2 linked regions of the Sus scrofa genome follow. The protein of the gene in region 2 interacts with the protein of the main gene of each other region in a pairwise test. Links are inferred from orthologs where the notes say so. Each region holds a gene or a part of one and is shown on either strand. Other genes may lie near its edges.

Region 1 (4,338 bases), on a different chromosome or scaffold from region 2:
ACAGCACTTGATTTTAATTTTTGCATGGGACGCACCAATATCTGGCTTTCCCTGTTTGCATTTTTTTTTTTTTTTTGTCTCTTTTGGGCCACACCCACAGCATATGGAGGTTCCTAGGCTAAGGGACGAATTGGAGCTGTAGCTGCCAGCCTTTACGACACCCACAGCAGCGTGGGATCTGACCAGTGTCTGTGACCTACACCCCAGCTCACAGCAACGCTGGATCCTTAACCCACTAAGGCCAGGGATTGAACCCAAAGCCTCATGGATACTAGTCGGGTTCATTAACCACTGAGCCACGATGGGAACTCCTGCTTATCTTTTTTATTGACTGTCACTCCCTCCCTCTAGAAACCTAAGCCCCATAAGAGCAGGGATCAGCTCTTTCTCATTTCCTACCACACCATCAGCACCTGGAGGGGGGTAGGCTTGCTGCATGGATGAAAAAGTCAAGATCACTGGAATAATCCAACAGCTTGCACCCCTACGACGCAAGTGTCTGAACTCTGAACACTCCTAATCCCCATGCTCCTGGCCAATGGGCAGACAATGGTCTGCCCTTGAGGGGCTGTGGTGTGAAGCCCAAGCATCACCCAGGAGACATCTTGCCATGAAATCAGGCTCGAGTCCAGGGAAGCTGAGATTCAACAAAAAAAAAGGGGGCCACAGCCAAGTGAGAAGATGCCAGGAGAAAAAAGACAGATCCAGAATGTGGGGCAACCTGAGGCCTGCAGCCAGGCCTGAAGCTCTGCATTTCTTGCAGCCTCCTGGGGCTGCAGTGCTGGACCACAGATGGAGGAGTGAGGGCCTGGGGTGCACAGAAAGTCAAGGCCATTGGGGGCCACCATAACAAAGCATCACAAATTGGGGGCTTAAAACAACAGAAAGCTAGGAGTTCCCACTGTGGCGTAGCAGGTTATGAGCCTGACTAGTATCCATGGGGATGCGGGTTAGACCCCTGGCCTTGCTCAGTGGGTTAAGGATCTGGCGTTGCTGTGAACTGCAATGTAGGTCACAGACACGGCTGGGATCCCAAGTTGTTGTGGCTGTGGATGGCAGCTGCAGCTCCAATTCAAGCCCTAGCCCAGAACATCCAAATGGTACAAGTTTGGCCCTAAAAAAAAAAGAAAAAACCAGGAATCTAACCCTAACCCAACAGTTCTGGAGGCTAGAAATTGGGGATCAAGGTGTGGCAGGGCCATGCTGTGGGTGGAGGACACTCCAGCGAAGGGCCCTTCCCACCTCCCTCAGCATCTGGTGGTGGTGAGTGGGGACCCTTGGCTTGTGGACCCATCACTCCCTTTCTCCCCCTTTGACAGGTGACCCTTCCCTGTTTGTGTTATAACCTCCTTCTTCTTACAAGGACACCAGAAATTGCATTAGGGATGCCCTCACCCAATGTGAGCTCATCTTAACTTGATGATATCTACAAAGACTATTTCCAAAGAAGGCCACATCCATGGGTTCCTAAGGTAATGAATATGCAGGGATACCACTCTACCCAGTGCGGGAGGAGGGAGGAAAAGAGGTGTTGCAGACTGTAGTAAAGGAAGCAAAGACAGAACAAGCAAATGCAAACTCTGAAACCTCCAGGATCCCGGTCCAAAAAGTAGACAGGCTGCAAATACTGTCAGACCCTCGATGTTACAACGAAGTGCGGGTGGACAGCCTGCATGGAAGCAATTCACAGAGGTCATCCCTCTTGCTTACCGATGGTTCATCGGAAACTACACACAGGCCAGAGATGCAGAGCGGGGAGCCTACAACCCGTGTAAAGGCGAGCCACTCGTTACACGTTTCTGCGCGTCCGAAAAGTTCATGATAAAACCAGGACACATAAAGACCCATGTCTTTACCTCTCCTTCCAGTCTCCTGAGCCTCACATCTCCAATCCTGGAGCCAAGCGGAGGCAATGGACCTTCCAGTAACCCCCTCCCCGAGCCCCCACCTCAGGCCAAGGTCTCCAGCTCTGCGGTCAGAGGAGCTTTCGGTAGGGTCTGAGTGCCAGGATGCACCCAGCCTCGTCCTCACTCCCTAGACTCCCCCGCCAACCCGAAGGGGGTCTACGCTTAACATGCGCATGCGTGACCCGCTCCCACCATCCGCCCTCTCCCCGCCCCTCCCCACGTGACGCCGTGGGAACCTGGACCCAGCACCTCCTAGGTGGGGGCGACCAGCTGAGAGCGGGCTGGCGGTGGGGGTATGGGGTGATGGAGAGAGGAGGAGGGACGGAGCCAAGAGACCTGGCTCTCGGGGTCCAGGGTTGCAAGAGAAAGAAGTGGGGGATGGGAGCCCCTGCTCCCAGATTGGGGCTCCAGGGAGGATGGGATCCCAGGGGTCCCACCGGCGCACTCACCCGAACGATGTAGGAGACCCCGGGCCCCAAGACCCTGGCGTCTGGGTGTAGCCAGCCGTGCGCCGGCTTGTGGATGAAGCTGCCCTTGCGGATCCACTCGTCCGCGGCGGCGTCCGGGGGCCCGGCCACTCCCCGCGCGCCCCGTGGCCCCCGAGTACCGGCGGCCCGGCAGCGGCTGAGAGCAGGCAGGGGGCAGGGCGCCGCGCAGCGCGGCTCGCAAGCACCCAGGACCGCGGCTGCCAGCGCCGGGACGCCGGCCGAGTCGGCCGGCTCGGGCTCAGGCTCGGGGTCAGTGGACCCCGCGCTCCCCGCTGCACGCGCCGCTGCGGGGCCGCGGCCCAGGAACCCGGCAGGGGCGGCGAACTTCCACTGCGGCATGCGCGGCAGCAGCGCGCAGAAGGTGGTGGGCGCCTCGGGCTCGGGGGGTGCAGGGGGCGCGGGGGGCGCGCGCCCGCCCGGACCCTGCGTCATGGCCGCAGCCGCCCGACCGAGCCCGACCGGGCGCTGCGCCTGGCGGGGAGGAGGCCCTCCCGCTCCCTCCCGCTCGCTCCCGCTCGCTCCCCGCCCCTGGCCCGGTGATGTCATCCGTCCGGCCCAGCGCGCAGCCGCGGGGGGCTGCGCCCTTGGGACCCCCGGCCCTCGGCGTCCAGATGCTTGGTAGGGAGGCTGGGGAAACTGAGGCCCTACGAGGACACAGGCGCTGGCATGAGTCGGGTAGCCAAGGAGGGAGAGAGGTTCCGAATCCAGGACCCAGGCAGAGACCCCCTTACTTCGCCCCCCACTTGTCCCCAGGTTCCTAGGACAGAGGTGGGAGAGCCTTATAAATAGCTTCCTTCTTCCCTTTTTGACGTGGGGAAACTGAGGTCTGGAGAGGGGCGGAGACACGGTCCGGGAAGGAGAGCGCTGCAACCCCTCAGGTCATCTCCCTCACTTCCCTCTGTTCCAACCGAAGGTACTTAAAAATTTTGCCCTGCTTTATTTCCTAACTGGGAACCTGAGACTCAGAGAGGGTAAGGCATGTGCCCGAGGACACACAGCGCAGACTCCGACCCAGGAGTGCCGAGTTGGGCTGGCTGTGCAGCCTTTCCCTGGACCTCAGTTCCCCCGGCTGTAAGCCAGGGGCACGGCACGGGCTAGAGCATCACCGGCTCCTCCTTCATTTCTGAGTAGCCCCGTGCAGCATCAACCCAACTGAACTCTTGGGCCTAAGCCCTCCAGGCCAGCCAGCGTCTCCGTCCGCCAAGGCCTCCACGGCTGCCGCTTCTGCACGGAGAACGGACAGTCTTGGTCACCCCAGGACCAGCATCCCAGCCCGGCGCTGACCATCCCCCTCCCCGCCCCCTCCCCCTCCAGCCCCGCCCCAGGCTGGGCCGGCTGCCGGGAAACAAAGGGAGGGGGGCCGGGGCCGCGGCAGGTGGGGACGGGCGAGGCAGCCGAGAGCCAGATCGATAAATCAGAGGAGTGAGATCACCGCGTGGCCGCCGCCCGCGGGCGCGAGAGGAGGCAGCAATGGGGGCGGGAGGGAAGGCGCGCGCGGCTGTGATTGGCCGGCAGGCTGGGCGGGGGTGGGGGGAGGTCAGTGACGCTGAGAGAGAAATTGTGGCCCGCAGAAGGCTCGGCCTTGGGTCAGCCGGTGGGGGTGACTTTGTCGGAGTCTGGGGCACCCACCTGGACACCTGTGTGTTCCTTGTCTCTGATGTGGGCTACAAAATTGTGGACTGTGTGAGGGTTGGCTTGTATTTATACTGTGCGTGGATGTGAATGTGAGAGAGTCCAGCTGTGTGTGCAGAGGCCCTGTTGTGTGTCTTGCTGTGTGTGTAAGGGTCCTGGTGTGTGTCCAGGTACGTGTAGAGGTCCTAGGGTGTGTCCTCCTGTGTGTGTAGGGGTCCTGGTGTGTGTCCTGTGTCTAGAGGTCCTGGTGCATACCCAGGTGTGTATAGAGGTCCTGGGTGTGTGTCCAGGTGTTTGTGTAGGGATCCTGG
Region 2 (3,746 bases):
CACTTTTCTTTTTTTGTTGCTCTTTTTTTTTTTTTTTTTTTTTTTTTTTTTGGTCTTTTCAGGGCCGCACCTGCAGGTATGGAGGTTCCCATGCTAGGACCCAGGAACTGGAGCTGCAGCTGCTGGCCTACACCACAGCCACAGCAAGGCCAGATCCTTAACCCACTGAGCGAGGCCAGGGATGGAACCTGAGTCCTCGCGGATGCTAGTCAGATGCGTTTCTGCTGAGCCACTATGGGAACTCCCTTTTTTTCACTTTTAAAAAATTAAAAGTGGAGTTGATTTACAGTGCTGTGCCAATTTCTGCCGCGCAGCAGGATGATTCAGTCATATATATATATATATTTACATTCTTTTTGCAGAGAAGCATAAAGTTCTAAGGTTTTTTTGGTTTATTACATATTTATTGAAAATGTTCTAACCTAGGAGTTCCCTGGTAGCCTAGTGGTTTAGGATCCAGCATTGTCATTGCTGTGTGGTGCGGATTCAGTCCCTGGCCCAGAAACTTCTGCATGCTTTGGGCACAGCCAAAAAAAAAAAAAAAAAAAAACAAACAAACAAAAAAAAACGACAACAGCAAAAACACCCAAAACTTAACCTATTACACGTGTATGAAGTTGCTATCTTTCCCTTCCATTTCTCTTACTGTCCCTTCTTTCCTAACGGGTTGTCCCCTCCTCTCCTTTCCCCTGCCTGCACTGGCGGAGCCCTGCTCAGCTGGCGAGAGCCTCCCTGTAGGTACTGCCTTTCAGGGCTGCCCATCTGTCTGCCCCCCTCTGACACATACAGCACCTGCCCCAGCTGATAAGCTACCTAGTCTGTTGCTGTTTTAGCTCCTGTTGGCTGGAAATCAAGTTCCTTTTTCAGTGGCTACAGCCAGTGGCAGGAATGCATAGGTGAGTAAGGGAAACACTGCAGAGGAGATTTCCATGTGTTTGTAAGTCGCACAGAGAAGTTGGCAGCCAGTCTGTCTTTGAGATTCAGCACATTGCTTTTGCTTTCACCTGTTTTTATAGTGTCATGGATTTCGATCCCTGGCTTGAAGTTTTCTGAGTTTTTCCTTTAATAGTTTGTCAAGTTAGAAGACAAGGTTCCCCACCCCCACCCCCACTGACTGCGGAGGGTTCCTAAGTTTACGGATAGAATCCTAATTTACTAAAACGACATGCATCCTTTGATTGCTTTCCATTCTCCATAGATAGGATGCAATTCATCTCAAACCCAAGTTGCACTCTGGCGATATGTACCAATGCAGACATACCCATGGGGGAATAGAAATCTCTGCCGTAGGACCATACATCCCTGTCTGCTTCCAGAAGCAGTAAACATAAATGATAAATGGATAGAGTGATGGATGCATGGCTGCACCCATGCACCTTTGGCTGCCCCTATAGCACATGCAAGTTCCCGGGCCAAGGATGGAATCTGAGCAGCAGCTGCAACCTGGACAGTCGCCCTGGTGACACTGGATCTTTTAACCCACTGCGGGCTAGGGATTGAACCCGAGCCTCTGCAGTGACCCAAGTGGCTGCACTCAGATTCTTAACTCACTGCCACAGCGGGAACTCCGAGGGGTGTGTGTATGTGTATACTTTTTTTTTTTTTTTTTTTTTTTTTTACTTTTTAGGGCCGTCCCTGTGGCATATGGAAGTTCCCAGGCTAGGGGTCAAATCGGAGCTGCAGCTGCTGGCTCACACCACAGCTATGGCAACATCCAAGCCATGACTGCAATCTCCACCACAGTTTATGGCAACGCCAAAACCCCAACCCATTGAGCAAGGCGAGGGATCAAACCCTCATCCTCATGGATACCAGTCTGATTCATTACCCCTGAGCCACAACGGAACTCCCTCCAAAGTGTACTTTTTAAAAGAAGATACAAAAGACTCGAAACTTCTTTATAGCAGTTGATGCTGTGAAGCTTGGTAATCTGTTGTGGGAAAGTGATCTGATTTTCCCCCCGCTTTTTCCAACTGGGGATAAACAATAGCAGTCATCAGACCACTGCCACTCAAACTGGCTGGCAGTCTGCCATCAGGGGAACTTGGCTGGGCCGCTCTAGGGGCAGTGACCCTTTACAAAGTCTAATCCCACCAGAGATGGTTTGAATTGAGTCCTTGGTACAGAGGAGAGGCATAGTCGGAGAATCAGATCGTGGATTCTTCTGTTTGGGGGTACTCCCAGGAATTGGGGGGCACTGCATTCGTAACTGTTTCTGGCCTCACATTCACTTTCGGCTCTCTTCCCTGTCAGCAGCCTTGGCTTCTGGAACTTTCCCTCCCAGGGGCAGGGTCGACACCCTCAGTCTTCCCCAGAGTGATAACGGCAGTAAGTGCCGAGTTAATGCCATGGACTGCAGAGGACCTAGAATTATGGTCCTTTTAAGACAGCAGCCTCTTTTTTTTTTTTTTTGCCCCCCCTGCCACAGCATATCTGCAGTTGCCACCTGAGCCGCAGCTGCATCAACACCGGATCCTTAACCCACTGTGCCAGGCCAGGGATCAAACCCGTATCCCAGCGCTCCCGAGATGCCGCCCATCTCACTGTGCCACAGCGGCAACTCCAAGACAGCTGCCTCTTTAACAAATCAGGCAAAATGGGAGGCGAATGTGTGGCTTGTTAAAAGCTCCTGGTGACGAGACCGTGAGGACGAAGTGGCAGCCCTAAGGGGAAAAACAGCAAAACATTGATTGGTTTCCTGAGCCAGTTCGTTACAAAGGGCCCAGAGCTCCGGGTTCCCACGAGGGCTCTGACGGGTGAGGAGGTCTCTCCTCTCCTCGGTGGCTGCAGCTTTCGGCCAAGGTTCTTAGCAGACGAGCATGTTGACTGCAATGCATCAGAGTCAACGTGGAGGTGGCTCCATGCAGAGCAAATTAACGAACCGACGATGACAGACTGAAGCTTCTTCCCGCACCCTTCTCATGTGCGGTAACAGCTACATTTTCAGAGCGTTAGTGAATAAGTAGGGAAACGCTTCTATCACAGGGCTAATACGACTCTGTGAAAATGCTTTTCTTCCTTTTCCAGTTTCCACCTGATACGCTGGACGGAAAGAGAATCACCTGGGACAGTAGGAGGGGTTTTATAATATCCAATGCAACATACAAAGAGATAGGGCTGCTGACATGTGAAACAACCATCAACGGACATTTGTACAAGACAAACTACCTCACGCTTCGACAAAGTAAGTGATCTTCCAGAAGCCGGAGTGCCCCTGGCTTTATCCAGTTCATGAAACGTCGATTTTTTTCTTAAATGTTACCTTGCTATGCTTGCAGCCAACACAATCACAGATGTCCGAATAAGCACGCCGAGCCCCGTCAGACTGCTGAGAGGTCACACTCTCGTCCTCAACTGCACGGCCACCACGCCCTTGAACACCAGAGTTCAGATGACCTGGAGTTACCCCGGGGAAGTGAGTGACCCTGTTGCTTCTGTAGGACAGTATTTTGTTTGAGCAAAGGCAGTGTCACTGCGTTTTCGAGGTGGGGGAAAAAATCAGAATATTCTGACTCCCGTGGTGGTTTGAGCCAATAAAGAAGCTTTGGGGTTGGTTTGGGTGCTTGTGAACGTGATACGCAAAGATACGGCCTTTTGATGTCTGGGGGCTTTGTTTTGAAGTTGTATAGGTTGGTGTTTCTGTTCCATGATTCTGGGTGGGAAAGGGGATTGTTTTCATCCTTGGAAACTGTTCTCTCGGACTGAGAGATGAGAGGGGAGTTTATCACTCCGGACCAGGCAGGGAC

Evidence for each region. The genes of interacting proteins can lie anywhere in the genome.
Region 1: the proteins of FLT1 (region 2) and SHC2 interact in a two-hybrid assay, tested with the Homo sapiens proteins (2 studies listed by BioGRID). The link is inferred for Sus scrofa from reciprocal best matches to the Homo sapiens genes FLT1 and SHC2.

What each region holds. Positions count from the first base shown.
Region 1 is NC_010444.4:77,810,944-77,815,281, reverse strand, and holds the start of SHC2 (SHC-transforming protein 2), read right to left. Parts: upstream 2,904-4,338; 5' UTR 2,828-2,903; coding exon 2,357-2,827; intron 1-2,356. UniProt on the Homo sapiens protein: Signaling adapter that couples activated growth factor receptors to signaling pathway in neurons. Involved in the signal transduction pathways of neurotrophin-activated Trk receptors in cortical neurons.
Region 2 is NC_010453.5:5,739,564-5,743,309, reverse strand, and holds part of FLT1 (vascular endothelial growth factor receptor 1), read left to right. Parts: intron 1-3,027; coding exon 3,028-3,184; intron 3,185-3,278; coding exon 3,279-3,415; intron 3,416-3,746. UniProt on the Homo sapiens protein: Tyrosine-protein kinase that acts as a cell-surface receptor for VEGFA, VEGFB and PGF, and plays an essential role in the development of embryonic vasculature, the regulation of angiogenesis, cell survival, cell migration, macrophage function, chemotaxis, and cancer cell invasion.